2 linked regions of the Struthio camelus genome follow. The protein of the gene in region 1 purifies or fractionates together with the protein of each later gene. This does not show direct contact. Links are inferred from orthologs where the notes say so. Each region holds a gene or a part of one and is shown in the gene's direction. Other genes may lie near its edges.

Evidence for each region.
Region 2: the proteins of STK24 (region 1) and CTTNBP2 purify together in Homo sapiens (affinity purification with mass spectrometry; 3 studies listed by BioGRID and IntAct, with this or other methods). This does not show direct contact. The link is inferred for Struthio camelus from reciprocal best matches to the Homo sapiens genes STK24 and CTTNBP2.

The regions. Positions count from the first base shown.
Region 1 is NC_090942.1:164,904,899-164,912,517, forward strand, and holds the start of STK24 (serine/threonine-protein kinase 24), read left to right. Parts: upstream 1-4,613; 5' UTR 4,614-4,905; coding exon 4,906-4,947; intron 4,948-7,619. UniProt on the Homo sapiens protein: Serine/threonine-protein kinase that acts on both serine and threonine residues and promotes apoptosis in response to stress stimuli and caspase activation.
Region 2 is NC_090942.1:28,493,483-28,500,998, forward strand, and holds the start of CTTNBP2 (cortactin-binding protein 2), read left to right. Parts: upstream 1-4,484; 5' UTR 4,485-4,814; coding exon 4,815-4,883; intron 4,884-7,516. UniProt on the Homo sapiens protein: Regulates the dendritic spine distribution of CTTN/cortactin in hippocampal neurons, and thus controls dendritic spinogenesis and dendritic spine maintenance.

The DNA.
Region 1 (7,619 bases):
CGATGACTTCCTCCTGGTCAGGTGGCCTGCAGTAAACCCCCACAACAGTGTCACCCATGTTAGCCTGCCCTTTAATCCTTTATCCATAGGCTCTCAACTTGCTCTTCATCCACCCCGAGGCAGAGCTCCATACATTCTAGCTGCTCCCTCACATAAAGGGCAACTCCACCACCTCGCCTTCCTGGCCTGTCTTTCCTAAAAAGCACATAGCCATCCATGACAGCATCCCAGTCATGTGAACTATCCCACCATGTCTCTGTCACTGCAATGAGATCATGGCCCTGCGACCGCACACAGATCTCTAACTCTTCCTGTTTATTCTCCATGCTGCGTGCATTGGTGTACAGGCATTTCAGAGAGCCAGTCAAGCATGCAAGCTTCCCAGGAGAGGTGCAAGAGGATCCTCCATAGCCATGTCCTATGCTGTCTCCCCTGGCTGTATGCACCCGCTGGAGGCATCCTGACTTGAGCAGTGTATTACAGACTCTCCTGCCACTATACCACTCCCCTTCCCCCATCTTGCCTAGATCCGTGTATGGACTTACACTTTTATCACTTGACTGTTTAGATTCTTTAGGGATCATTTGTGAAGAACCTTGTTAAAGCTGTTTTGCATTATCTGCAAATGCAATACATTTAAAATAAAAGCATTCAAAATGAAGCTCTAAAGACAAAATAGTGAAAATTTTATTATGTGTACAAAGTACACTAATCTATTAAAAAATTATATATTTTTATACAGGTTGCTAAAAAGGTTTACTAAGTACAGAAACTGATCAGTAGAAGAAAGAAAACAGGAAAGCCTGAAGAGCACGGATAAAGACAATAAAGAAATGAAAAAAAAAATCCAGCAACAAGTTTAGCGATGAATAATCTGGTAGTATCATTTGATTAATTGTTCCACAACCTTCAAATCAAGGATGCTTGATGATTATGGTGACAGGATGCAACTGCTGCCATACAAGATGGACCAACTCCATCCTGTCTGCTGGGGAGGCTCCATAATACCATAGCCATGACTCTACTGCAAGCAATGGGATCGCATATTCAGCCCTCTCATTCTTTTCTGTTCACTATGTAAATTTGCGCCTTGTGCTATTTATCTGCATAAAGATTCCTTAATCACCATTACATTTTTCACGCATTATGTTTTTAGACAAATGCCCCATCTGTTACAATCCATAATGTTTTCAAAATATGAATACTGATTTATTTATGCTATATTATATATTACAAAGTTCAAAAGAGAGAAGCTTTTGGTACATCTTTCTTGTTGGAAAACATCAATAGTCTGACATTACTCATTTGAGAAGAAATTTTAGTCTTGGTCAGTAAGGAAAAAGGTAATTTATGAAAGGAAATTCATAGTCATTGCTGTTACAATGAATAATACTCTTCTTTCCTAACTTTTTTTCTTGTACAACCAGCAAAGCACAACATCTCTGAATATGTGAAGTACTGTTTTAAGTTGAAAGTGAATCAGGTGTTGTGAGCCAGCACATAAAATAACTTAAGTTGACTGAATTTTTGCATGTTGGAAACATCTGGCTTCAAAAAGATACAATAACAGGGAGCCAGCTTACTAATAAGAATTGTTTATTTTCAAAGTCCTTATCATTGTACTAGAATAGCAGGCTGTCCTAATGTGCAAACATTCTATTTTAAATGAAGATTTCTGCAAGAATAGCCTTTCTTTGGAATATAATATACAAGGGCTGAGAAACAGAGAAAAAATTGCAAGGCTTCTGTTATTTAGTCTATGAGGAAGAAACTGAAGGTTAGGCTAAAAAATTAGCATTTACAAAAACAACAACAACATACAGAAAAAAAAATCATTATTTTAAGATTACATTTAAAACTAGTTTGGTTAAAATTTCTCTACGTTCAGAAGAGAAGTTGGAATTGTACCAGAACATAAGATACAGTATAGAATACAGAAGTTGACAGAAATTAGGAATTCTAATACACTGTTCTTAGTTCATTAGAACTTAATTTAGACTGATATCTGCTTTGCATTTTGGATCTGCTCCTTTGTTCCCATGTTTCCTTTGTTTCCCTAACAAGTAAATCTGCTCATAGAGCTTATTCCACTGGCTCAGTCATTTGTTAGGCATAGTGTCTTGTTGAGTATGTAATGCAGAGCCATAAACTTCGGAACCTCGAAACTTTGAGGTGAAAAAAATCCATCATCTTTACTCAGTGAAGGAATATAAGCAAAAGATGGTTAAAATAGTTCAAATGATTTCACATTGGCCCTGGGCTAGGACCTTACATGGGGAAAGTTGCTTCAGATCAGCTAGAAGATGGTAACTTTTTCTGTGTATACTAATGGATAAAACATAATCGCTTTATACCTTTTCTTAATACAAAAGATGAAGCTTAGTTCTATACCCTTTGTATTTTTCACTCTGCACTGAATGTGCAAGTGCAGAAAAAGTAAGGCAGCTGGTAAAATGTGGATTGTAATGACAACATAGAATGGAGCAGAGTTAAAGCTGCATAGGTAACAGCAAACCTGACACTGTCTCCTTGGGGATTTTTAGTATTTTGTGATGTAGCTAAAGCTAAATGGTATTAATAGGACAAAGAAAAAGGCTCATCTACAGCCCACTGCCTTTCTCACTAGCAATTTAAAAACATACTACAAACAGTGGAGTAAACCATGGAGACATCAAAGATTTTTTTTTTAAATAAAGATTGCAAAAATATTTTAAGATGGAAAACAATCTAAATAGAAGGTTTGATGCCAATTCTTTTTATAAGTCTGTTATTTAATCTGATTTTTGATTGAAGTAGAACTCATCTAAATGAAAGCTTTTACATTTCTTAGGAAATTATATATTAATAAAGAGGTGAGGCATTTTCATGTTTTTGAAAGTTTACAGAATTTAAAATGTATTCCAGCATTAAGTAAACTAGCAACTCATTCATAAATAACTAATAAAAGAATTCCAGTAGTTCAAGTTTCTATACAACTTCTATCCATCATCCGTTCCATGTTTCACTGTACTCAGGCACTGATAAGTCTAGTCTAATTTCTAAGGAAAACAAGATTTATGGGATTGTGTGTGTGTGTGTGTGTGTGTGTGTGTGTGTGTGTGTGCGCGCGCGCACGCCTGTATGTGCCTGTATGAGGCTGCTGGCTAATTTCATTCACATTTCACTGAAGGGTAAAAATCTTGAAGACAGTTAAGTTTCTACAAGTTTCAGGAAGACAAGTGTGCAGCATTGGCTCAGTCCATATTAGACATACACAAAAAAAATACCGTAACTACGGAAAAAAACTTCAGTGGGAGAGCCTGTGTCTAACCAAATGTCCAAGAGACCATGTTATACTTTAAAGCTTTCCAGCAGTTACGAGATTTGTACAAACTCTCTCTAGTGGGCTACCTACTGAAAGGCAATTTACGCTACAGTGGAAGCTCACCCCTTTTCTGTAGCTCCCAAACCCACTAGAAGCTAGGCTTCATTAATTTCACCGTTCATGAAACTACCTATTCATTTGGGGTGGGGGGGAGAAAGGGAGAGAATCTCATGGCATAATTAGCATATTGCTAAATTTATGATGTAACTCTTGAATCTCAGTTTAAACTGGCCAAACACGGGAAATACAATATTAACATGTTCTTAAGGGTGTTAAATGGGTTTCCAGGGTTTCTCACGAGGAGGGGAGACGTGGACTGCTGGCCCTCTCTTCTTCCCATTTAAGAAGTACTGTAACAACATCATGACTATTATTTTGGCTTAGCTCTTTTGCAACTTCTGACAGGAAGTCAAGTGCTTCCTGAAACCATAAACCTCAGTAGGGCTATAGCATTACTGTGACCTTTCTTAAAGCGTCCAAGTGAAGGGGAGGCAGGAAAAGGACATACCAGAAAATGTCTAGCGTTTCTGCCATCTTGATCTATCATCTCACTCCGGTTTCTTTATTTTAAGCGTGCAGCCTCTCCGCCTGACGCTCATCTCGTTTCACCTGCTCTGTTTCACTGACAGCCAGGAAGTTGCTCTTGATTTCGACTGTGGGAAAGGAGAAGCAGGTCTTCGGGTTGTGTGTGTGTGTGTGTGTGTGTGTGTGTGGAAAAAGAAAAGAAAAGAAGAAAAAAAAAAAAAGAAAGAAAACCCAAACCCCCAAAGGCCGTAGCACAGGGGCCGGGCAGCCGGTGCTTTTAGCCTCGAAGACGACGCCAGCCCAGCGAGCTGCCTGGGGCTGCCGGCTCGTACTCCCGCCGCAGGGCCGGGAGCGCCGGAGGTGCTGACGGCGCTCAGGCCCGGGGCGGCGGGTCTCGTCACACCGCGCTACGTGCGCCAAACCTCCGGGCGTTTTGTCCCTTCGCCAACCCCCTCCCCGCGGCGGGGGCGCGGGCGGGCGGCCGTTCTCGTTCCGTTATTTCCCCGCTCCCCTTCCCGCCGCCGGCCGTTGGCCTCCGAGCTCGCGCGCGCGCCCGCCCGCCCGCGGGCTGGTGGGGGCGGGGCAGCGCGTGCAGGTAGCCGGGTAGGAGAGGCGGGGCGGGCGGGCGAGCATTCCCCGCCCCTCCCCCAGGTTTGTCGTCGTGTGGCGGCGGGGCTCCGCGCGCCGTCGCACCAGTAACGGCCGCTCTGCGCGCGCGGCAGGGGGCGGTTGGGGGGGGGGGAGGAGGCGGAGGCCGCCGTCGCCGCCGTTGCATCCGTGACGGGGCCAGAAGAGCCCAGGCTTGGGACAGCCCCTTTCCCACCGCCTAGCCCGCCCGCGCACAGGCGCCGCTCGCACGGGGGAAGGGAGAGAAGAAGAAGGAGGAGGAGGAGGAGGAAGAAGAGCAGCAGCAGTTTGTATGTGTGTGTGTATGATGAGCTCAGCCCCGTCCCCTGGAGGCGCCTGAGGGGACCTGACTCCCCCCACCCCCCGCCCCACTCTCTGTCGCCGCCGCCATGGCTCACTCCCCCGTGCAGACGGGCCTGCCGGGGATGCAGGTGAGCACCAACCGCCGTCCCCTCTGCTGCCGCGGACGTTGGATGGGGGATGGGCGGGTCCCCTCCTTCCCCCCCCCGCCCACCCCAAGGGCAGGCACGGACACGCACCCACGGCGAGCGGTGGGGGAGGGGAGCCAGGGCTTGGTCCTTGTATCCCTTCCCTGTATTGTCTGCCCGGAACCGGCGGGGCTCGGTGGGGTGGGAAAGGAGGGGAGGAATAGTGTGAAAGGGGTGCGGGGTCTGGGGTGAAGGGCGGGCGGGTGTGGTGCCTGGCGGTAAGGGGATGCCCTCAGGCTAGAGGGACAGGGCGAGGGGGAAAAAAATGCCTCTTCACTCTGACTCGGTCTTGAAGAAGGTGGCGAGGGGGGGTTGGCGGGGAGGAGCCGGATCTCGTAACCCCTGGAAACAAAATGTGCTGTCAGCACTTCACATAATGCATAGCAAGGTCTCTCTGCTTAGTGAATCCCTCCCTTTCTCATTGCTTAATAGCCGCTGTTTTGATGGAAGTGTGCTTGGTAACCCCCCCACCGTCCAGTAGTTCTGCCGGGCTGTTTTGATTCATGAAATGAAACTTGTCTTTAGAGACGATTTTCAGTCCCGTTATTTTGACGTGGCTAGGAAAAATATGCTCTCCATACGTAAAAACAGGGCCTGAAAACGTTGACCTTCAACGTGTGCTGCAGTGCCCATCTCGGTAGAACTGGCTAGTGGGGGTGCTGTTTGAGGTGGATGTTTGGAGATTATATTTGGCTTCTGTGTTTGGCTGTAGGAGTTGGTTAGCTGTAGCTGTTATACAGTGGGATTTGCTGTTTTTGTGTTGTAACTGTATTTTTTAAATAACTGATGTGGTTTTCTGGTGACTAAACTGGCTTTTTCCTTGTTTTCTTTTTTTTTTTAGTCCAAATTCAATAACAAAGTACTGCCAGAAGAACCTTAAGGTCTTTGGTGTTTGTGTGTTATTGTAATATTTTCTGTGTATTATTAGACACTTCCCTGTGCACCCCTCCCGCAGCCCCCAAAAGAAATACTTGTGACTGGGACATAGAGTTTTTCTGAAATTATCTTCAAGGTTAAAAGTTTTTGTGCTTCATTTGGTTTCAGTATTGATTTACTTTGGATCATTTTCCCATGAATCAGATTCTAGTTCATGAATCTTACATCCTTGCATAGCCTGAGGATTTGAATTTAAAATGTTATATTTGTGCGTAAATCAAAATAACTACTCTACTTCCCACAAACTGAGGGGAAAATGGACAACTAATAGTTAAGAGTCAGCTTGAAATTGTGTATGTTGCCACCTGCATAATGTATTTTTCCTATTCACATTCTTTGTACTCTGGCTTTGCTTTCCTTCTACCCTGGAGAGTTCTCAGCTTCTTTGTACCCTGCAAAGCTATTCATCTGCAAATATCTTTAAAATCACCCCTTATGTATTGCTTGAAAGATATGGACATTTTTTTAAAGGAGAAATTAAATGGAAAATAAACTATTTAAATGTCCTAAAGTTTGAATCATAGAAGTCATGAGAAAAAAATGTGTTTCTTAAGAAACTTCAGTAGCATGTTGAATGAATGGTTATGTCAATGCTCAGGCATATAGTACTAGATGCCAAATGAGTACATAGGCCCTCACTCTAAGTGTGTATATTTGTCACTCTGTTGAGTGTTCAAGTTCACCTTCCAAATGCAAGCAGTGTGCTCATCTCCAAAGACAGAGAGGTAACAGTTTGTTGCTAACGGTAGGGCTAGATTAATGTTGCATTTTTTTTAATACTTTGAAATATTTTAGAACCAATAACGCTATTTACTTTTTTTTTTTCAAAAAGAGTCATAGTATTTTTGAATTTAAAAAGTTGGATCTGGAGATGCTGGGAAATAAAGAGAGCAAAGTTTATTCCTGCAGTTTGCATGCAGTGCTTATATATGTGATTGCATGATCTCTCAAAAGACCTAGGTTTTCTTGGCTTATTATTTGATTTATTGTTTAATTTGTAGTACTGTTAGCTGTACTAACCGGATAGATATTCCTTTTTTTTGTTGTTAGTCCATATAATTTGGGAGTTTACTTCAGATTTTTTTATTCAATACAGTATTATTTTTCACACAAATTTTTATTGTATTCTTATGAGTGAGTTTCTTGAGTGTTTTTGAACATTAACAACTATGTAAAAAAAAAAAATAAACCCAAAACCTACAGATAAGTAGGTGCATAAAGTTCAAGGTCGGTAGTGTGAAAATTACTTGCTAATTTTCTTGCCCAGTAAAAGATGTCTAGATTTGTTCCCACTTTGCCAGAGTGTATAGCAATTTTATAGTGTTTGGTTTTCAGTACATGATTCTCTTTGACTTTATCTGCAGATGAGTGCTCAAACTGTGTACCGTTAAGTACATATAATTTGTCACAGCTACTTAAATAAAGCAAAGTTTATGGTTTGTGACTTTTCATTATGTAACAGAGAAAGGAACAGAACTCAGTTCTCTGGAGCGTGCTTAAGTTGCCTAAATGACGGGACTGTATTTTCTTCCTGTACTGTGATCCCTTCTCCCCACCAGCAGATTTTGCAACAAATCTTGGAAGTAATGTCAGTGAGAAGTTATACAGCTTTTTCTGGTGTTTATTACTGTCCTTACATAAGAGGGCAATCAAGTGTAAACAAGAGTCAGTTCTTGACA
Region 2 (7,516 bases), about 140 Mb from region 1:
CTTTCAGGAATTTAAAATGCTGTACCGCCTTTTTTGTCTTGACAGCAAATGTGGATAGCTCCTCTTCTTCCCATAGTGAAACAGAAAGAAAACAATCAAGAATCCAACTATTCCAGACTTGAAATATATTGATAGCTTAATAGAAGCTTATAGCTTTCAAGGCCAAGAAGATCAGTGTGTGATCTCTTCTTTCGCATAACACAGACTATAGGACTCCTCCAAATTAAACGCTGTTTTAAATCCAAAGACAGTACCCATTTTCAGGCTCTGGATTCTATTTTGGGCTCAGATTTCTAGAAGTTAGGCATAGCAAACTGTCAAGTTTTAGGTGTGTAAGAGTCCAGCTGGATCTAGCTTCCCTCTCCATGTGTTAAACTGAAGTCTCATTCAGAATCCTCCTGCTCAAGGTAAACTTCCTGAATTGTCACTTGTAATTTTTAGACATTTCTAGAATGTTATAGTATTGGCAGAAAGAGATTTTGTGTCATTCAAGGTAAAGCCACATTGATAGCAGTTTTCTCTTTCTATAAAGATGCTTAAGGATCTTGCTTAAAGATGCTAAAGATCTTTGGTCTTTAGTATGATGGGAGATTTGCTCCCATAGATTAGACACTACCTAATACTTCATTTTATGCTTTAAATATTAAAATACAATTCATAAACATTAACATAACTTGTTTGGGAGATGTCAGTAATGCTGACACACAAAATACCATTTTTAATAGAGTGTCTTCCCTTCTTTTTGTCCACTTGTGCTTTTCTAATCAGATTATAACCAGTTTTCAGCATTCAAATCATGTGAATCACATCACTGAGTTATAGTCATACTCAGCACTGTTGAATTTATGCTCACAAATCAATAATTCCAATACTTGTTATTTATTATCTATGCTCCTTGTGCATAGTCAGTTAAAGCATCTCTTCTATTGATGCCCACTGGAGAGTCCATTTTGCTCTCAACAGTATAATTTTATATCTCCTTTTCACCTTCCCTTTCGATGTTCCTTTAACATCCTCAGAAACAACAAACATGCCTTGTGGAATATTGATCCTCTTTCTATTGAATTTCACCCAGACCGTATAGTGCCATCTTCCAAAAAAAGTAACCCCTTCTTCACAAAACCCAAGCTAATGTTTCACTGTCAGAATCTTCTGTATTGCTTACAAATCTCTAACACCAAATTTCCTTGATGGGGTAATCTGGATTATGCTGTATAAATTTGATTGATTAGCCCTAGATGAGGGTGATGATAGAAGAAATGCCTTCAGTTAGCACTGGGGTGACCTTTGAAAAGATTGTAGTGATATAATGATTGCTTAGTTTTTTCAGATACCTCATTTTCCATAAAAATTTACCTTTTGGCTTCAATGTCTCCTACTTGCTTTACACTCAGACACAGGTTTATCTTTAGAAAACAGTGAATAAAATACCATTTCGATATTTTTTGTTTTATAAGAATAGTTAGTAACAACATGGCAAGGCCTCGATATACTGTATGATTTAGATGCAAAGCAATTTGCTTCCCTGCCAGTGTAAAGCCAAGCCATACATTTTCTATCACAGCAGTTGCGTGCTAATGGAGGGAGTGAGCACACTGCTCGGTACAGCAGCTGCATCCTGTAACATGTGGACATTCCACCTTTGCGTGCCAGTTCTCTAATCATAGGAAAGAAACATATTTAAAGCTCAGCTGAAGGGCCTACTCCTAGGCTTGGCCGTTCCTTTCTGTCACTCAATCCCAGTAAAACTGGGAGTAGCAGAGAAAGAGTTAGTTATTTTCAGTTTGCCAGCTACCAGCTACTACTAAAATAGGGAACACCTTCCTCTGAGAAAAGCACCTCCTTTGCTTCAATGTAGTCATAAAATAGAAGAAAATAGTCTGTCAAAGCACAGGCAATTTCTCCTGCCAGCAAGGCTCTGTGTTAGAGCTTGGCCATGTGTTAGAGACATTTTACTGTGCATGCAGCCATAGCAATGACAGTGCATTATGGGAACAGTCACCAAGTTGGGCTGACCATCTCTCCAAACTCATATATTATATGCGTAGATGCTACATTTTTGAGAGTGTAAAGCCAGTCCTGAAAGAGAGGATGCAGTAGCATAAACAGAGCAGCCAGAGAATAAGTAACACATTGTTAACAATCAAGGGGAGAATATTTCTTACGTTAGAGATGGTCCTGGGCCTGAAGGAGTTCTTCATGCAGCAGAACGTCAGACTTTTGCACCCAGCCGCCATCACGGACAATGTGGTAATGACTGCTACCCAGCATGAGAATCTGCTCACAGCAGTGATTAGTAATATCTAATGTGGATTTCAGTGCTCTCAAGCCACCAGTAAGCCTTGTTGCTGTCATTAGGGGGGAAAAGTTAAGAATTACAAACACGCAGTAGAGGCTCATACAATAACAAAAATCAATAATATTTTCAAAATGGTGTGATGATTAATTTAGCAGCATAAAGAAGAAATCTAGATCATTCCTCCTTCAAAAGCAAGCCTCTGATCTTTTCTGCCACAACAGCAAGTCAAACTACTTCCAACGCTTGGATGATATGCTGGATGTTAGTTGTATGGGGGCGGGCTTTTAGCTGAAGTCTTCCTGGTCCATCCATCCTATTAATTTTTGCTGGCTGAGATCTGAGACTTACTCCCCCTTCCCTCTCAGAAATAATTTCTAAATTTATCTTCAAATGAGGAAAGAGAGATCAATTCTCAAGCCTGAGATGGTAAGCTATGACTAATCTAATATTCATTATTATTATTTTGATAAATGTTCACTTGGTAATTGATAAAATATCAGCTAAACCTCAGAGTTTATGGTCTCAGCAGAGCAAGAGATAAATAGTGCAGCCTTTGCTTCATCACTCATGTGATGCAGACGGACTTAAAAAATAGCACTTACACAGGATGTTATGTGAATGCTTTGTACTAGCTCAGTTAGAAAGGCAGTCTAGTTACTGTGATGGTCAGCAGATGATTCTAACAAAAGTTAAATACCAGGGAAATACTGCAAATGATAAATGTAGATAGGAATTAATAAGTGAAAAGATATTCTCAAACCATTTCAAAACACTATAGTGTTTAAAACCCATTTGGAGGGGAGTAAGTATGAGAAAGTGCATAGGAGATAAGTGACTTTTCCTTAAGTTTCTTAATGACATGCTCCTAGAACTTCATGCCATCAATAAAGTAAGCAAGCATAAATTTATATTAAAAAACAATTACACGGTATTTGAGTTTGGGGAACTGAGAAAAATAAGCCAGTTTAGGCTCTGTGCCATCAATGGTGTTTCTCAACTTCAGCAGTGGAAGGGATGTTAGCAAACAGTATAGTTAAAAAAGTGTAAAACTTGAGTAGGAAGAGAGTTAGGTGGTTTTCATGCCGGAAAAAAAAACAACGCATCTATTTGTTTGGAGTTTATCTGCACTGTAACGGATCCTATGTACTGAATTCTGCTCACTCTGTTCAGTGAACATTTCCATTATAGCTGAAGTTCATTCTATCAGTTTATCATTGGTTTGTCTTATGGGTATGTAAAGGGGAAAGTTCATGCATGTTTTTACTTAACAGCCTTAGGTACAGCATGCTTGGAGGACCATTAGCTGTCTTTAATGAAGGGAAGATGCTGGTCCCTTTCTGTCTGCACCAAGTATAGACCAAGAATTGAGTATAGACCAAGACCTGAAGCAGCCCTAGTACACATGGAGACAAGCAAGGCTCAGTGGGAAAAGTTGTATGACTGTAGAATAAATAATGTCCTGGATTCTGTTTAGAATGGATTTGAGTTGGTCCTAGAGGAAGGTACATTCAGTTTTGTTTTTGGTATATGGCTAGCTAGGTGGGGTCCCAGAGTGGGAGAAAAGCAGTGAGGCAAGTCCTCGGGAAACACCCCTTCCAGCTGCTGGGGGACGTGCGGTTCAGCCTAGGTGGGTAGCAAGTGAAAACCTTTCTGGGGAGGAGTTCAAGCAAGCTTTGAGGCAGGTACTGGTCTAGAAAGACAAAGGGCACTGCCAGGCCCGGGTGCGCTCTTGTCTGGCACAGGAAGGTTTTAACTTGGCCCCAGAGTGCTAGGCCTGGATTAAGGTCCAGCGTAACACAGGCTCTGAAGCCTGCCTCGCTGGAAAATACAGGACTAAGCAAGGTCTGTCAGCCGAAATGTGCTCCCCCCGCCCCTCCACGGGAGGTCTGAGGAGAGGTGCTCTTTCCAGTGAACTCCCTCAGTCAGCACCACCAGAAAGAAAAGGGTATCGGTAAAGAGGTCCCCTTCCCCAATACACTTCAGCTGCTTTAAGGATCTAACTGGGCAGGTGAGCCAAGCCCATTGCAAAAGCTCTTTTTTTTGTTTTCCTCCCTTCCCATTCCTTTCTTTTCATTCCGCTACTCCCCAGGCGCAGGGGCGGGAAGGGCGGGAGAGGCGCGGAGCGGAGCGGGGCGCGGCGCTGCGCGGGGCCTGGGCACTCCCCTCCGCCGCCGCCGCCGCCACCGCCGCCGCGGCGGGGTCCCGCTGCCCCTCCTCCGCCTGCCGCGGGGCCGGCTGGTGGCGGCTGGGGGGTGGCGGCGAGAAGGAGGGGAAACCCGAGCGCCTCTGGATCGCCGTCGCCCAACTCCGCGCGTCGCTCGCCTCGGCCGGCAGACGGGGCAGGCTGGGCTTCGGCAGCTCTCGCTGTGAGGCGCGGCGCCGGAGGGGTTAAGCGCCCCGCTCCCGGTGGGCTTGGTGCCGGCGGGGAGGGGGTTAAGCGCCTGGCGGCGGCGGCGGCGGCGGCTGCCACTCGGCTCCGCTCCGCGCTCCGCGCCGGAGCCGTTACAGCGGGAAGATGGCGACGGAAGGCGCGAGCGGCCAGCCGGGCTCTGGCGGCCAGGAGGACTCGGCGGCCACGGCAGCGGTAACCGGCTCTTGCGGGCCTGGGGGCTTAGACCCAGCCGGGGCGAGGAGGGTTCCTGTGCGGATGGGACGAAGCAGCGCTTGGAGACCTGCCTCCCCCGCTCCCTCCCTCCGCCCTCCTTCTCCCCCGGGGCGGGACGGGGCTCGGCTGCGGCGGACCCGCCGCAGCCGAGCCCCGTCCCGCCCCGGGGGGGGGGGGGAGAGGAGAAGAGAGAGGGGCGCGGGATGCCTGTCCGCGGGCGCGGAGCGGCGGCGGTGCGGTGCTCTGCTTGCCGCCAGCTGCCCCCCTTCTCCCCGAGCCCCCTACGGGCTCCCCCCATTGTTCCTTCCCGCTGCCCCGGCGCGGGGTCGGCGTGCGGCGGCGAGGAGCGCGGCGCCCGCCAGGGGCACGGAGGAGGCGGCGGGGAAGGGCGCTGGCCGGGCAGGGTGACGGGGCGTCGGGGGGCGGGGTGGGGGGGGAAGGCGAGAGGGCGAGGCGCCCGCGGGGCTGCTCCGTCCGCTGCCATCTCGCCTTGCCCTCCCCCCACCCCCCCGCCTTGCGCCGCTTGCCACAGCGAGGGGGGCTGCGCCCCTTCTCCCCGGGCGGGCTGAGGCGGTGACAGCGCCCGGGGCGGTGGGAGCTGTCAGCCCGCGGCGGGGGAAACGGCTGAGCTTAATGCTCGCCGGGCGGCCGATCCCGCAGCAGCGAGCTTTCCTTTTCGCTCCCTTCTCCCCGTGTCTGTCTTATTGCTCTCCTTGGTCGTTCCCAGAGCCGTGGCAGCGCCCCTTCGCTGTCCGCCCGGTGTGTGGACATGGGCACGGCGTGGCTGTGGGGGCCCGGCGGCCCTCACCCCGTCAGGGCTCTGCCTTAGGGGCAGAGCTGGCTCCCTGCTTAGAAAGTCCCAGCACCCGAGCAGAAAACCCACGTTATGTCTTTCTCCGCAGGTGCTGAGACACCTTGAGGGAAGACAGACACAATGTGGTGCCCGTCCGTGTAAACTCTTTGAGCGGAGCCTTTTGCTCCGCTGCGTAAATTGGCAAGCGATAAGGCTTCTTTCTGCTGCTCCTCAGGTAATCGAGCTGCAGGAGAGCAGAAGTTAGCCTGCTCAGGTGTCCACTCGTTTAGTTCATCCTGGCTTCTCACCTGTCCAGTGACCCCGAACAGGGTAGAGCGGTTGCAGCGCCATCTCCCCCCCATGCTCTTCTGTACCCACAGAGGAGCATCCCAGATCTGCTGTAGTCACATCTGTGGCATTTGCTTGTGGATTGTCTGGTGTTAATCAGCTTGTGTTAATAGTCCAGTTGACAGTTATCGTTGAGAACTGGATGGCGAAGTCCACTGTCAGGCTGTATTCTCAAGGGTTGTAGATGCTTTTCATTGTAACGAAACACATTGTTTAGGATAATAAAATAATCAAGTCCAATTATTTGTGAAGGTAATGACCCAAGAAGGGAGGATGGTACTAGTATCTGTGAAATTGAGGATATTGTTAATATTTGCTTTATTTTCTTTCAAACAGGCACTAGTTCTTCTCTGAAACCATGTTCTAACTGTATACTTAATCATCTTTGTGCTTTAAATTCCAGACTGTTGTCCTAAAAATTGAGTTTTACTTTAAAGAAAAAAAGGAATCCTTACACGATGAATATTTATAACATCACTGTCTTTAAAAACAACGACTTAACTGTGATATAACTGAATATTAAGGTGAAAATTCATAAAAGCAAAATATTAAATACTTGGAAGATGAATTTTGAGCAACAATTCATTTATAATGTAATTTCTTTAGTATACTCATCTTAAGTTTTAGTTTTAAGAACTCAAAACAATAGCTCAGAAACAAGTAATTATCTAATGTTGCACTTTTAGGCAATGCAGTGTAAGCCACCTATGCAATTTGATGATCTCATTGTCTAAGGTAGGAGCGATAGCTCTACACTGCACACTGTTTTTAGAAATACTTTCTAGTATCCCTTTAGTTTTTAAAAATAACCTCTGTGTTCCTCTATAACTTAAGTAATAGCTGTACTTAAGCAATGACAATATTTTTAAAAAGCTGACTTTTATTTTTAATTTGCCTTCAATCCTTAAATATTTAATATTCCTTGTCATCTTTTTTTCCCTGCTGGTATAAACTTTAGATTTTTTGTTTCCTTTTATTTCTTGTATGGGAGAGTAAAAAGAACTCTTCTATGCAATTAAAAGGTTTTAAAAAATATTTATACAATACTCTAGCGTGCCTTTTGAAGGGTTATTTTGAATAGCTTATTTTCTGTCTCAAACTCAATACAAAATTAGGAATTGAATCCTCTTACTTGCTGTCAGGATTACAGTAAGCATCTAGGTGACTATTTTGTAAGTAATGCTAAACTTAAGTTTATAATGAAATATTTTATTTTCAATACACTTTTACTTTTTTTTTTTTTAATTCTCAGAACCCTGAATGCACAAACAGTGCAGAGAAAAACTGTAGGAACGATAATTTGTCATAGTAATATATTATTGTGTGAAATACTGTGGTGTAAGTAGGAGGAATATAACACAGTAGGATTTCCTCATACTAAATGCTGTTCTGATTACGTCTGTAAGTAGCATTACTGCACAATAAGGCTTTTTTTGCTACTGTTAGAAACATTACAGAAAAGGATAAAAAG